Linked DNA regions of Drosophila melanogaster. The protein of the gene in region 1 purifies or fractionates together with the protein of each later gene. This does not show direct contact. Each region holds a gene or a part of one and is shown in the gene's direction. Other genes may lie near its edges.

What was found. Proteins that work in one complex are often made in the same cells at the same time.
Region 2: the proteins of Dip-C (region 1) and CG8839 purify together in Drosophila melanogaster (affinity purification with mass spectrometry, with the first as the bait; one large-scale study listed by BioGRID). This does not show direct contact.

What each region holds. Positions count from the first base shown.
Region 1 is NT_033777.3:12,409,969-12,417,418, reverse strand, and holds Dip-C (dipeptidase C), read left to right. Parts: upstream 1-3,659; 5' UTR 3,660-4,035; coding exon 4,036-5,511; 3' UTR 5,512-5,610; downstream 5,611-7,450. Other genes in the region: pps (protein partner of snf), read right to left, coding at 27-201, 290-771, 831-2,548, 2,663-3,067, 3,133-3,262; CG5196 (uncharacterized protein), read right to left, coding at 5,950-6,384, 6,439-6,959, 7,063-7,144.
Region 2 is NT_033778.4:12,340,172-12,347,621, reverse strand, and holds the start of CG8839 (uncharacterized protein), read left to right. Parts: upstream 1-3,004; 5' UTR 3,005-3,162; intron 3,163-5,525; exon of another isoform or gene 5,526-5,638; intron 5,639-5,691; exon of another isoform or gene 5,692-5,777; intron 5,778-5,839; 5' UTR 5,840-5,951; coding exon 5,952-6,134; intron 6,135-6,192; coding exon 6,193-6,412; intron 6,413-6,481; coding exon 6,482-7,056; intron 7,057-7,117; coding exon 7,118-7,450. Other genes in the region: ana3 (anastral spindle 3), read right to left, coding at 1-2,536.

The sequences.
Region 1 (7,450 bases):
ACTTTATGTCTATTGTATGACTTTACCCTCTCCTCCTGCCTTTTAACGCATTTGGGGCACTTCCAGTCGATGCCCTTGTTTTCCATATCTGTGCCCATCGCCTTGGTCACCCCCACGCATGTGCCGTGGAACCAATCCTCGCACAAATCGCAGCAGATCATGAAACGATTGTTGTGTGGCTGACGACAAATGCACCAGAGCCTAAACCAAAAAAAAAAAAAAAAAAACAAAAAAGGTTTTCAACAAACGCACAGATTTGCATCTATGAAATATCCAACTATAATCTTACTTGTTGGGGTCATCGTCATCCTCCTGAGACTCTGAAGCGTCGGGATCATTGTTCTGACTTGCATCAAGCTTCTTTGATCTTCTGGGTGCCGTTGAACGTCTGGCCATCGATGGCTCTCTAGGATTGGGTCGTTTCGGCCCACTTCCCGGCTGGCTGTCATTGCTCAGGCTGCTGGTATTGAGCGGCTGATTGATGCTCGCATCCAACGAAGATTCACCAAACGACAGGTTGCCTGCATCACTGGAACTGGTCGCAGCCATGCCCGGAGCTGAAGGAAACTGTGCTCGTCGCTTGGCCCGCGTGGTGGGGGCTTCAATGGGAGGCAGGTATATGACCCGACCGTAGCCGCGCACAACCTTCGCGGAGGTGGGCGGAGTGCTTGCTGCCACGCTCCTCGAGGGTGTACTGCAGGCAATCGGCAATGAGGTCATCGATTGTGCGGGCTCCGTAAGACTTGCATTCGGCAGTAGGTTCGTGTGTGCCTGTAAAGGAGCAATGCAGTTAGCTAGCAAAATCAATAACCAGGATATTCTACACTTGCCTGTACTTGCGGCACGTCTACGGGCTCAATGGACGTAGGCATAGATACGATGGCGTCCAGGGTTCCGGGCTCTGTACTAGCCAATACTTGCTTAACCACCTCGGCCTCAAACTGTTTGTCCTCCTCGATGAGACCGACCACGTGCTGGAGAAAATCAGCTGTAATCTCATCCTCATTCGCCGTATCCATTATATTATTCGGATCGGCTGCAGCTGCATTTCCCACTCCCTGCATCTCGGGAGCTGGAAAAATATTCGTAGGCAAGGACACTGGTGGCGGATCTAGATCCGCCGCTGTACTCTCCAGCATCTTAACCAGTTTCGGTATATCCTCGTCCGCATTTACTACCGGCTGCTCCACAAGCGTGGACTTAAGTAGCTCGTCCTGCACAATCGAGTTGATCAGATCGAGCTGCTTGTCATTTTCTGCTGCCAGCTCGGAGGAACTCTGGTGCGTCTCGATTACTATTTGGGCGGGCAGTTTATGCGACTGAGCTGTGTCCACGCCGATGGGCATGAAGCCCTTGGATGGGGTATGTGCCTGAGCAGGAACCGGAACCACAATTGGCGACATCTGCTGATTGTAGCTCGATCTCGGCGTGCTTGGCGACATGACGGCCCGGTGTCGGAGTGGAACTGGCGAAGATTTTGTGGCTGCATTGTTGTCCTCACCCAGCAAAGTGTTGAGATTGGTAAACACTCCTTTGGGACTGGCCATATTCTTGTTGATAATAATCTCTTTAACTTCCTGCGGCGAGTTTACGATCCTTCCCAATTGCACGGCAGGCATACGACGAACATTGGAATTGGCCGGTGTCGTTGGCAGTGGAGGTCTCTTCACAGGCAGCGATTGATGTGTGGGCCGGATTTTGAGAAACGATGTGCTTGGAAGACCTCTGCCTAGGGCAAACACTGCGGGCACTGATTTTGTGGCAGGCATCTGGATTATTTGCCCAATTTGCGGCGCCTTCGGCTCCAAAACTTCCTTGCGTTTCTTCAGCTCGGGGAAGTGCTGCGGCGTTGTGGGTGGCGGAGGCAGCGGCTTCATTGGTTTGCTGGGAGTCTGCCTAACCACCTTTCTAACCCGCTTCCTCTTATTCGGATTACGTCTATTGCTATGCCTCATATCGAAGTCCATGTCACTGTCCCTGTCGTTGTCCGATTCCTGGAACTCATCGCTCTCCTCACTCATTTCCTCCGAATCATAGGCCTTGTCGGCATTTTCCTCTTCGGCGGAATCCGAGCTTTGGGCGTCATCATCATCTTCGATGTATTCCTGCACAGGCGGAGCAATCACTTTGACTGGAGCACGAGTGGGCCTCAGCCTGGCATTGACCGAATTGTTCGCGATAATCTCTGGCTTCTGTCTTGGCAGTGGCGAATGGATGGGCTTGCGGATCAGCTGCACTTTCGGTTGCAGCTGCGCTGCCTGCTGAACTTGGTGGGGCTTGACTGGCAGTCTCTGGACCTTGACCTGCACCGGGCTTAAGGGTATGGCCTGGACTCGTTTTTTGGCATTGATTAGCTTGACACTGCCCGGTGCCTGCATTATGATTTTGCGGCTTTGGGCCTGCATTTCCATGGCCATCTTCTCATCGCGCTTGTGGTTCTTCAGCTGCTCTGGCGAGGTAAACGGTGTGTAGTTGTGGTCATTTCGAATAACTTCCATAAGAGCGTCTGTCTCCGCAGTCCTTTTGTAGACGGAAACTCCGGCAAGCTCTGTAAATAGAATACAAATTAGTTGAAAGCTAAAGTTCGTTTACTTTCGTTGTGCTCGAAATAATGATGTTGTTTTGCTTTATCATTTGGACCACATCGATGTACGTTATTTACTCAGTGCATTTTTCACAACCATATCAGCCGTGTTGTCCGCATAAAACTGCTCCACTCGCAAACCCACAATTTGTGGACGCTCCTTGGGTTTGCGTCGCTTTCGCTTTTTGATGGCCTTGGGCTTTCGGCCAACTCGCTTGCGTGTGCGCGGGGCATCGGCTTCCGTCTCCGTGGAGTCGCTATTGTTGTCGTCACCGGTGTTATGGTTCTCCTCGTCGTGTTCATCCATCTCACTGGCATTATCGCCACCACTTTGGCTGCCATTGTCACTGTCCAGCTCCGAGTCGGTGGCAGTTTCCATAAAGTTCGCCAGCTCCTCCAGCCGTTCGTCTTCCTCTTGGTCCACCATGCTCGGCGTGGGCGATGTAATCCGCACCACGCTAATGGTGGAAATCGATTTTTCCTCTGCAACAAGCCCATGTCAGTGTGGGGAGCAATGAGCGTGTGTCAGGCCTATTGGACCCACTTACCCATGATGTTCCCAATCGCACGCTCGTCGAAGGAGATTCCGCTCTTGCTGTAGACCACAACCAGATTGGAGTCGGCTTCGGCTGCCGCCGGCCGGGCGCTGGGCGCCTCCGTAAACACCGAACTGGACATGACGCCAACTGCTCGTGATCCCCGCTAGCGGCGCATTGGAGTCGGCGGCCCACACAGCGTGTACTTAATTAGCTTGGAACAGAACAACGACTCATTTGTTGTTGCATCCGCCGCGTTGTGACGCCGACATTGAAATTGGATAGTAGGTGGAAAACGGTCACTGGGCTGCGTTCGCCCTATACTTAATACTGGTGATGCTCTGCTGGCTGCGCCCACAAGCTGGCTGTTATATTGTTGAGATTCGAGAGCTTAATCCGTTGCTGTTTCGCTTTAAAATGCAAATTTTTCTCAATTATGAAAATAAAATTTGCAAAAAAAGCCACTTCCAGTGTGACCAGACTTGGGAATGATGCCGATGCTGTAGGTTATCGATAGTTTCTGTGCCTCGCTCTGCGGAACTAGTTTCAATTGCTAGCTCATTTGAACAAAATGTTAATCTGTGTTTATTTAGGGAAATCCTTTATTTTCAAGGTCGGCTGCCAAAAAGGAAAACCGTATGATAAATAAATGAATTGAGCTAATTAAAAATATTAAAGAATATATTTAAAAAAATAAAATTCCCGATCGATGAATTGTAATTTAAGCTTGTTTTTTTTCGCGTTCAGTTCTCGGTCATACTTTTGCGAAAACAGAAAACAAAAAACACTGATAAAACCCACATAATTTACTGCCTTTGTTAGCCCGGTTATTGGCTATTATCAGCTAATCTCACTTGCTCGAGCACTCATTGTTGTCCAGAGCGCCAGTTAAACTTTGTCCTCCGTCGCAACACCATGGCCGCCTTTCAGATGGGATCGGGTTACGCAGTGCCCATGACCCTCTTCCGGAACAACAGGGATCGTGCTGGCAAGGCCATCCTTAAGGAGCTGCTGCCGGGCCTCAAGTTCAACGACGGCAACCTGCTGGTGCTCCTCGAGGGCGGCAAGGACCAGAGCCTGTACAACACCGACGTGGACTACGTTTTCCGGCAGGAGTCCTATTTCCAGTACTTGTTCGGTGTCAAGGAGCCGGGCTGCTACGGCATCCTAACCATTGATGTGAAAACTGGTGCACAGAAAAGTGTTCTCTTTGTTCCTCGCTTTCCCGATGAGTACGGCACCTGGATGGGCGAACTGCTTGGGCTGCAGGAGTTCAAGGCCATGTACGAGGTGGACGAGGTGTTTTATGTTGACGAAATGAGTGTTTATCTGGAGGGGGCGTCGCCCAAGCTGATACTCACATTGAGTGGCACCAACAGCGATAGCGGGCTCACCCTTCAGCCGCCCGACTTTGCTGGCAAGGAGAAGTATGTGACTGACTGCAATCTGCTGTATCCAATTCTCTCTGAGTGCCGAGTGATCAAGTCACCCGAAGAGATCGAGGTGCTGCGCTACGTGGCCAAGGTATCCTCGGACGCGCACATCAAGGTGATGCGGTTTATGCGTCCCGGTAGAATGGAATTTGAGGGCGAATCCCTGTTCCTGCACCACGCCTACTCCGTGGGCGGCTGCCGGCATGCCTCCTACACCTGCATATGCGGCAGCGGAACGAACTCGTCGATCTTGCACTATGGACACGCGGGCGCACCCAACAGCAAGCCCGTCCAGGATGGTGATCTCTGCCTGTTCGATATGGGAGCCAACTATTGTGGCTATGCGGCCGACATAACCTGCACATTCCCGGCCAATGGAAAGTTCACCGACGACCAGAAGTTCATCTACAATGCCGTGCTGGATGCCCGCAATGCGGTCACAGAGTCAGCCCGTGACGGAGTCTCCTGGGTGGACATGCACAAGCTGGCGGGCAGGGTGTTGCTGCAGCGCCTGAAGGAGGGCGGCATGCTCAAGGGCGATGTGGAGGAGATGCTCGAGGCAGGTGTTTCGGGCGTGTTCCAGCCACATGGCCTGGGCCACTTGATCGGTCTGGATGTGCACGACGTGGGCGGCTATCTGCCCAAGGAGCCCAAGCGCCCCAGTGAACCGTGGCTGAGCAAGCTGCGCTTTGCCCGCATCCTTAAGGCCGGCATGTATGTCACAATCGAACCCGGCTGCTACTTCATCAACTGGCTGATGGACCGCGCTCTGGCCGATCCGAACATTGCTAAATTCATTAACGCAGAGATGTTCAATCGCTTCCGGAATTTCGGAGGTGTGCGCATCGAGGACGATGTGCTCATCACGAAGACTGGCGTGGAGAACTTTGCGATTGTGCCGCGAACGGTGGAGGACATCGAGGCAACCATGACCTGTAAATATGATTCGCCGGTTTAGAGCTTTTAAACTATATTCCACGCGTAAACATATGTAATATAATCTGTATCATAATCAAATTATGGAATACCCAATAAATAAATAAGGTCTCATCAGTTGACATCTAAAGGTTTGTCAAGTTTCTATGGGAAACTTTAAAACAATACTTTAATTATACATATTTATATATATTTTACTTTGTCGCCATGAGATTTACGCTGCATTTACTATCTGAAAAAGATAAGCGTTATCTGCTGATACACAACTGGATTAATTTCGATTCACATCAGCAACTGATACCAAACTTTCGCGTTATTTATTGGTCGACATTGTTAACAGAGTAAACGGGATGACGGCCTGGCTAAGCGTTAAACAGTCGAGTCTCCAAGCGGAATCTAATTCTATATACAAGCCGAATGTGGCACAGAATGCCATCGATTGATCTCTGCCCGATCCGGGCTACATGTACTTTTTGGCATGTCCGTTTCGCTGCTGCTGCTTCAAGTGGCTGTGGGCGTTGCCATTCTGGGCCGCAGGTGCTGGTGTCTCGCTGTTGCCATCGCCGCTGCCTTCATGGACCGCCTCAATGACCTCAACGGCGCTGCGTCGTGGGAACCAGCCACGAATGGGACCCTTGCGTTGGCGCTTCTTGACGCCAGCTAGCTCTTGCTCGGAAAGCACTCGCTCGCCGAACAGCCAGTGGTTGCGGAAGCGAGTGACCTTAATCATGTCGTTGGGTCGCAGGCTGATGCGTGGCTCATCGGAGCAGGGAGCGGCCACACAAACACGCCAACCCTGCGAAAAGATCGGCAGCCAACGGCCAGTCACTGGCCTTGTGCATTTGAAGGTGCGGGTTCGAGCTCGTTTCTCCTCCTTCTGCGCCAGTTGCTCGCGCTGCAGGAAATACATGTTAATCTGCGCTCTCTAAATACAATCTGCAATACTCACCGTCAATGTATACTGATCACAACCCTCCACCACTGGCCACTCGATGCCATCGCCTCGCTTTTGGCACTCGTCATTGAATACCAGTCGCAAATTTGCCCGCCAGCCCAAATCATAGGGATATAGGAACTCGTCGTCGCAGTCGGCATTCCTATATCGGCGGTAAATGGCCTTCTCCACTATCCAGATCTCTATGCCCGTCTGGTTGTTTACAATCGTCTTCAGCTGAATGAACAGCAGCATGCTCAGGCCAATGACGACACCGATGGCCAGGCCCATGCCCAGAATGCACATGATGATGCTGAGCAGAGTGAACTGCACGCTAGCCAAGTGCGCCAATCCGTGGGTGAGATAGTAGTAGCGGTAGATTCCCCGCCAGAAGGAGCAGCACAGCACCACGGTGCCCTGCAGGCTGCCCAGGATGGAGAAGAGCAGGAAGTATGTGAAGTACGCGTGGTTGGCCCAGCCAACGCAGTGATTGATCCATGGGCAGTGATGGTCCATCTTCTTGACGCAGCGATCACCTAAGTGGTCAGATATATAAATCATTATGGTGTTCGATTTAAACAATTTTCATTTGCTTAAGTTCTTTTAAATTCCTGTGCAAATCATCTTAATATCACTTACACTTGCGACAATGATGGGAGCGTGGTGCCTTGTAGCCCTCGCACTTTTTGCAGTACTGCAGGAACTGGGCGTCCTTGGGATCCTGACAAAAATTAAAATTCATTAAAATACACAGCGAAAACGAGTATATTATTCGTGATTTATGCGCGTTTCCCGATGCCGTCAGGTACAACAAAACCTAACGACGCACAGCTCATTAGGTGACCGACCACCTCCCACCCACCTTCTATCGCCCATGAGCCACGCAGCTAGCCAAAGAAATCCGCCCCTCTTGCGTCTGGGCTCGCCTACAAAACATTTATGCAAATTCCGGTAATTGCATTACGGACTTTGGGCCCCGTAGAGTGCGTTCGCGTGCAGGGCCCGAACTGCCCGGCCGTAATGTGAG
Region 2 (7,450 bases), on another chromosome or scaffold:
CATCCTGGCGCAACTGTTCCAAGTGGGGGAACAAGAATAAAGCCCTCAGCAGTAAAGTGTACACCCCGAATGTGTTCGCGACTTCTAATCGAAACTCATCGTCATTGAACAGAAGCTTCATCAGGATACTCACAGTGGGCAGCAGAATATCAGTGTCGTTCCCCTTTTTCAGAGCGTTGTGCAGAGACTCCATAATCAGTCGATATCCATCCTCCTTTGTGGAGAATTCCTCACAAGCTCTCCAGTTTCGTAGCAAGACATTTAATTGAGTCATTGTTGACTTTCGGATATTCGACTTTATGTCCTTGGCCTGGAGTAATCGGAACAGGGCGTCCAAGCTGCGCTGACCTTGAAACCGCTCATCAGAGCATTTGATGAAAATGCTTCTATAACAGAATGGTGGTTGAATTATGCAGAGATCGTTGGCGATGTGCTCAACCGGTACGTTGCTTGCGGTGGGCAAATATCTATTCGTTTGCTCCTGACATTGCAGCACGTAAGCAATTGTAGTGGTGGCCTCGCTCCTAACCTCGCCATCCGGATGGAACATGAAGTAAACGTACCCGCGCAGCATCAATTGCGGATCCAAACGGCTGGAGTCCGGCTCTAAAACGTTCCATATGACGTTGTGCAATATCTTGTGTGTAACCGACCTGCTGATCAGCAGAGGCAGCACGGGGAGTAGCAACGGGAAAACAACGCTGAAATCCTGCGGAGCTAGAATAGCGTTTAGCTTCATAATCATTATAGGATAGTCGAGGCACCACTGCTGCATACGTTCCGAAGTATTTGCTTCCGAACTCTGAATTATCATTCTGCGTAACAGCAGGGGAGTTAGCGGCACGCCTAAGATATGCTGACGAATCAGATCCACATTGCTGCAGCCGGTCATATAGACTGTCTTGTTCATAAAGGAATGAAAGTGGGCCACGGTGGATTTGATCATTAAACGATATATAAGTGAACGAAGTTTGAGAGCAGGCAAATCAACAAGGGTGTAAAGCAGCTCATCCGCATCCTTTCTTAGCTTTAAATTGCCCGCGTAGAATGGAATGCATTTTACAACAGCTCCGAAGAGCTGCTTTACCAATGTCTCACTGCCCAGTTGGACGAGCACAAGGCACACTTGTCTGTACTTCTGGATTAGCAGCGACCCAGTCAGTTCCGTATTCGGATGTAATTGATTTAGGGCCACGCTGTAGGCCCGCTTCAGCTTGATCAACTCCTCGTCCGGTGATGGTCCAGAATCCAAAGACGATATTAGAGTGTTTAGCGACTTCATGCGCTCGGGCATGCCAGACAGGTAAGCGCTGTCCAAAACTATAGGTTGGATGAGTGCTTTGGCTTGGCGTCGGTCCATGCGTTTGTCATAGTTTATATTTAAGGCCACCATATCGTGCAGCACGCCGTTAAGGATCAGCGATTGCAGGCGGGGAATCCTGAGCGAGTCCATCAGCTGGGTCATGCAACTGCCTTCTACACTGTTACAATACGCCAGCAGACTTTTGACCGCGTCCGCGATGAGCGTAATGCTCACTAAGGGAATTTTTGAGCTGAGAACATCGTGGGTCCGCACTATTTCCACGATCAGCTCCATTATGTGCCAGTTGTCGTTTGTGCAGCTGAACAGCAACGGACGAATCAGCTTCATGCAATTTTCCAGCAGAATTACCAAGGCGCTCACCACCTTCACTTGCTTGGGGCGTGACGGAGGATCGAACCTGTCCGCGTAGCTCAGAGTGTTTCGGCGCAACAAGATGCGCTGCTGCAGCAGCCGCAGGCAGGCAATTAGTGCCCGGTTCACATGTATCAGGCTACCGTCAGTCATCGTTTGCAACTGAACCAGATGCAAGAATACGAACGGTGGCTGCAGAAAGTACTCAGTTGGGTAGTCGCCCATACGGATGATCAGTTCGGTGAGCTGCAACTGCAACTCAACGCTATTTCGTGGCAAATCAATCATGCTCTTCATGGTGGCCACATCGTCCAAGCACGGATGCGACCAGGAGGGCTCGTAATCTTCCGGTTTCAGATTGTCGTAAATCTGATTCGAACTGCTGTCTGCGGATTCAGTTGCCTGACTGGGAATGTCATTTGAACTAAGGCTGGAGACGCTCGGCGTCACCCGGTCTATGTTGTACTTCTCGAGAAGCAGCAAATTCATATCATCCAGCAATTCGCTGACCCGCTTGGACTCCTGCTTGTGTAGCACACGGCGAACCTTCTGCAGCTCGGCCTTGAAGCGTTCGTAAGGAATCTTGCGAATCACCGCCTCGGCGTACTCGGATCGAAGGAGTTCCATAATCATGGCCAGCACACGGTCGGGCACCAGCGGCGGTGTGTACCCGAACCAGCGGATGAGCTGCTTCAGCAGCAGGACCGGCTTGAACTGTATCGGCTCGCCCAGTTGCAGGCACCTGATGAATCTCGTCTCAATCTGGTCGAGCGCGCGCATACGGATCTCTTCCGATTCGCTAGTCAGCTTGGTTAGCTGCCCCTCCGCCAGCTGGAGGGCCGGGCTCTGTTTGGTACTCATTTCCTTAGACTAATAATACCCGACTTTTAGTTCGTTTTCACTTCTCTTCCAGGCAGCAAACGTTTTAGGATGTCATTTTTGAAAGCGTCAAACTCGAATTTTGGCTGGCGTTGCCACTCTGCTTGAGTGTGCGTTCCCTGCATAAGGGTCTAAAAATACTAAACCTATTAAAATAGTATTTCTCCACCTGACACCTCGCATCAGCAACAACGAACAATATTCCGCATCAATCTTTTATTGCTCCCTAAGAATTAGGTGCTTTTCACACATAATAAACAATTACTTGAACCTAATCCCTTTTTTGTTGAAGAACTTTTATTCATCTAATTGTTTTATTTTTATATTATTTATATGGTTTTACTTAATAATCTTATAAATTATGCCTCTGATATTTGCCTTATTTCACCAAAACTAAACTACGCGTATTAAATTGCCATATTTGTCTATCGATAATTTGGTCGCAACCGAGTTTGTTATTTCCCAGCATGGCAAGCACGGTCACGCTAGCGCTGTAGGTTTAAAAAAAAGTCGCCCATCTGATTGGACTTGAGTTTGTGCTTAGCGGGTAAATAATAGAGTTTGTTTGCCGCTGCGGTGGAGAACTAGACTTTTCTCTCTGTGTGTGTGTGTGTATAAATGCTTATCTTGGGTTTCATATCGTTTTGTTTACGTGCCGCTCTAAAGTGTAGCTGTGCGATTGTGAATACAGCCAAACGCTTTGTAACCGCTAATCATTGTTCGCCAACCGGTTATTTGCAATTTAAACTTCAACAAAGTGCTATTTCTGATCATTCTTATCCTTGTGACCCATTCATTGTTCCATTTTGAACAATAAAAAGGCTCCCTCGTGACGTCATCGGTTGGATTGTGTTGTTTTAAGTTTATGTTTTTGTTTGCTTTATTTTTGAGGCAAACAAACTTTACTCACACATACATGTGCACAGTGTACGCACATAGTGCCAAATGACACTTGATGAATTCGTAGTGCAAACAAAGCATATGCTGGAAATGAAAATGGAAATAGCGAAATGATGTCACTGGCGCACGCCCGGGTAACTCCCTCGCCCCGATGCCGCCCCTACCACACCCCAGAAACCATTTCGCCGGTCGCAACCTTCGCTTTTCCACCTTTTGCGTACATATATGTACATATGTATATCTCACCATCCAGTTGGAAATCAATGGCCCGTCTACTCTTTTCTAATTAGAAATGGCATGCAACTGCGATTGACATTCCGATTGGATGTCGCTCGAGTAATTTACAATTGAATATTTTGGACACTGAGCCAAAAAGGGGAGCTAAGCAACAAGTTCATTATTATTTATGGCTAATCTTATCGGATTGGCCACTTAAGTGCCCGATTATTGGACCATTATCGTCCCGCATCTCCACCCATTGAACTTCGACCGACTGAAGCAAAAAAGATTTATATTGCACCAGGAAAATGTTTGCCATTTGATTTGTGTCACTGCAACCCATTAGTATCAAACTTTGAATGGCTTATAAAAGATATTCCATTAAATATTATGAGTGAGTTCTAGGAACCGGCCTCATGAGACTTTGAGCTATTAAAGTGTGAATTTCTATTTGTAACTTTAAAATACGAAAAACCCGGCTCTACTGAACATTTCTGGCTTACAAACCAATTTAAAATAATTGCCATTCATTATACAGAGTGCTTTGAACTTCATATAGCATGCTCTTGGCAATTTTACCCATTTTATTCGTTTGTTATTCAAAATCACGGGCAGACAAATTGTCACCACCCCCCCCGTGAATATTCACCCCAACCGCAATTTGAAAGTGCGAACTTGATTATAATGCACTCACTGCATTCAAAATTCGAATGTCTGGCAGTTCAATTAGCAGACTGCGATATGTTGAAAGGCATTCTTAATAGAATAATCAAATCGTAACAACATATTATTCTTATTATTAATATGTAGATAAGCACATTGCGATAGGAAGTGGGAACTTTGAGTTCCACTAATCATTCACGAAGCACTTTTCGGATTGCTCAAAACCGACTATTTCAATTGTTGCTCTATTTTTTATGGCAAACGAATGGCATAAACAAACAGCTTCGACCTGTGACTCACTCCGCTTATCAGTTGGTTTTTTTTTTTCTGTAATACCATTTGGAGTACTGATGTGGATATGGTTAACGACCTGGCTGTTTAGTGAGCTGACGGGGATCGGCTTTTCGGCTATTCACCACTCTCCGTGGTCTGCTTCCCTTTGTGCCATTATCTTCTCGTGTTTAAGCAGCGAATTAGCTGTCTGATGCGCACTCCTGATAAGATAATGAGGTAAATCCTGATTCTGGCCGGGCATATGGCTCCCTTAAACATTATACTGCCCCGATTCCAGCTCTATATATTAACCATATATCTATGTGTGTATACATATATCCAATTCCATACAAGTTTCCATTGTTCGTTTTTGTAAACAGTGAAATGTTTACGAGTTGAACAGTAAAGTCATTTGTTTAAACAACCTTTTCCAGAACAGCGAAGTATTATGCATAGGCTTCCTTTGGCTTTTCTTCGTTATCCGGAAATACACGTTTTTCCCAATACAATACGTATATTGTCATTATTTGCTGAATTTTAGTGCAATTTTCAGTTACTTTATTTGTTTTGGGACCAATATAATGATCGCGGTTTCCTACTCTATGTATGCACTTTGGAGAAAAGTTCTACATTTCGAATATAGATTCCATATTTCCTATGTGCCTTTATGAATCCATCTATCCATGAGTCACACACAGGTGTGGACTTGGCCTATCTGGGAATGGGACGGCTCAATTAATTGCCGAGTCATTAAACCTGAGATGTGTGAAAAGAACTACAACTATGAGTACTATATTTATTTTTATTAAAATTGTCACCAATTTCATTTATTATTGTAGATAAGTAATGCTAAATACTATTCGAAATCATGAGACTTTGTGGCATGAAAACACGAAATAATTCAAGACACATAAATAGAAATTTTCCGTTTCGATATGAAACGTTCATATATTGCGTAAAACCCATTATATCCATAAAATGAATTGCCGACTTAAATGACTGAATTACCAATCATAAATCCAGAACGAGGTATTTTGACCCAATTTTATATTTCTACTGATTTGTTGTTTATTTTTTACTTTTGCTATATAAGGTCTTATAAAAGTTGCCTGATAAACCAGTTTAAATTGCAAATAAACCACATTCATGAGTGCCTTCCTTCATTTAAGTATATTTAACATGAATTTTCAATGCATTTATTTCATTTTTGTTATCGTTTCAACATTCCAGAGCAATAACACATGGGCCAGGGCAAAGTACACAGCCACCAACACCCGCAGTTCCAATTCTGAGTCCTAGTAGCTGAGCTTCTTCAGGCGCACATTCCTTAGAATTCCACAAAATGGCGAAGAGCGTGCCACTGACCCAGGCCATTGGTGGTTACATTTTCGGCATTCTCCAGGCCTGCATTCGCTTTGTTTTCCGGCTGATCTATGGCCAAAAGGGTGAGAGTGTTCCACCGATCACAGATGCCATTCTCTTGGAGTCCGCCACATCGTTGGCACGGAAAATCCGCAAACAGGAGGTGAGTGTGTGCAATCGTTTCATCTACAAAACACCTAACTTTCACTCATCTTGAGCAGCTGAGCAGCGTCCAGGTCTTGGAATCATTTATCCGGCGCATCAAAGAGGTGAATCCCATTCTCAACTGTGTCGTGGATGAACGTTACGATCAAGCTCTCAAGGAGGCAGCCGAAGCAGATGCCCTGATCAAGTCTGGACAATACAGCACGGAGGAGTTGGAGAAGGAGAAGCCCTTCCTGGGCGTGCCCATTACCACCAAGGATTGCATATCCGTCAAGGGTGCGTAGCTCCCATAAGTTTCTTAATTGGATTACCATTGCTATAGCTCAATCATGTGTTTGGCTTTAGGCATGCTGCACACAGCTGGACTCTTCGAACGTCGGGATGTGCGTGCTGCGCGGGATGCGGACGCTATGGCCTTGATGCGCAAGGCGGGAGCCATTCCCATAGCCCTCACAAATGTTTCCGAGGTGTGCATGTGGTGGGAGAGCAACAATACGGTGCACGGCAGGACAAGGAATGCCTACGACACTAACCGCATTGTCGGTGGCTCCAGCGGTGGCGAGGGCTGCATACAGTCGGCGGCTGCCTCCGCCTTTGGCTTGGGCTCCGACATTGGCGGCTCCATTCGCATGCCAGCCTTTTTCAATGGCATCTTTGGCCACAAGCCCAGCAAGTTGGTCGTCTCCAATGTCGGTCAGTTCCCAGCGCCCTTCAGTGCCGAGCAGAACTCCTTCCTCGGCCTGGGACCTATGTCACGATTTGCCGAGGACCTGCGACCCATGCTAAAGATTATGGCTGGCGAGAAGGCGGCCCTGCTTAATCTGGACGAGGATGTGGACCTAACCAAAATGAAGTTCTTCTACCAAGAGTCCGATGGCGGCGGCCGCTTGGTTTCCGCCGTTGATCCAGACTTAAGAGAGGTAAGATAAATGACCTTCTTTCTTAATTAAATCCTCTAATCTGAAATCTTTCTTGCTGCAGGCCATGAACCGCGTGGCACAGCACTTGAGAGAGAAGTTCGGCAATCAGAAAGTGGAGCGCATCCAGCTGCCCCACTTCCGGCAGTCGGCGGCCATTTGGTTTGCCAACATGCGCGACGACAGTGGCCATGGATTCGCCTACCAGCTAGGCAACCTGAATCATGACATCAACACGTACCTGGAGCTCTTCAAGTGGTTCTTCGGCGCTTCCAAGCACACATTCATTGGCCTGTCGACAGCTATCATGGATAGTGCACAGTGCAAGCACGGATCTCCCAAGTACGATCATCTGGTGCGCAAACGAAATGAGCTGAGGGAGGAGTTGCAAAGCCTG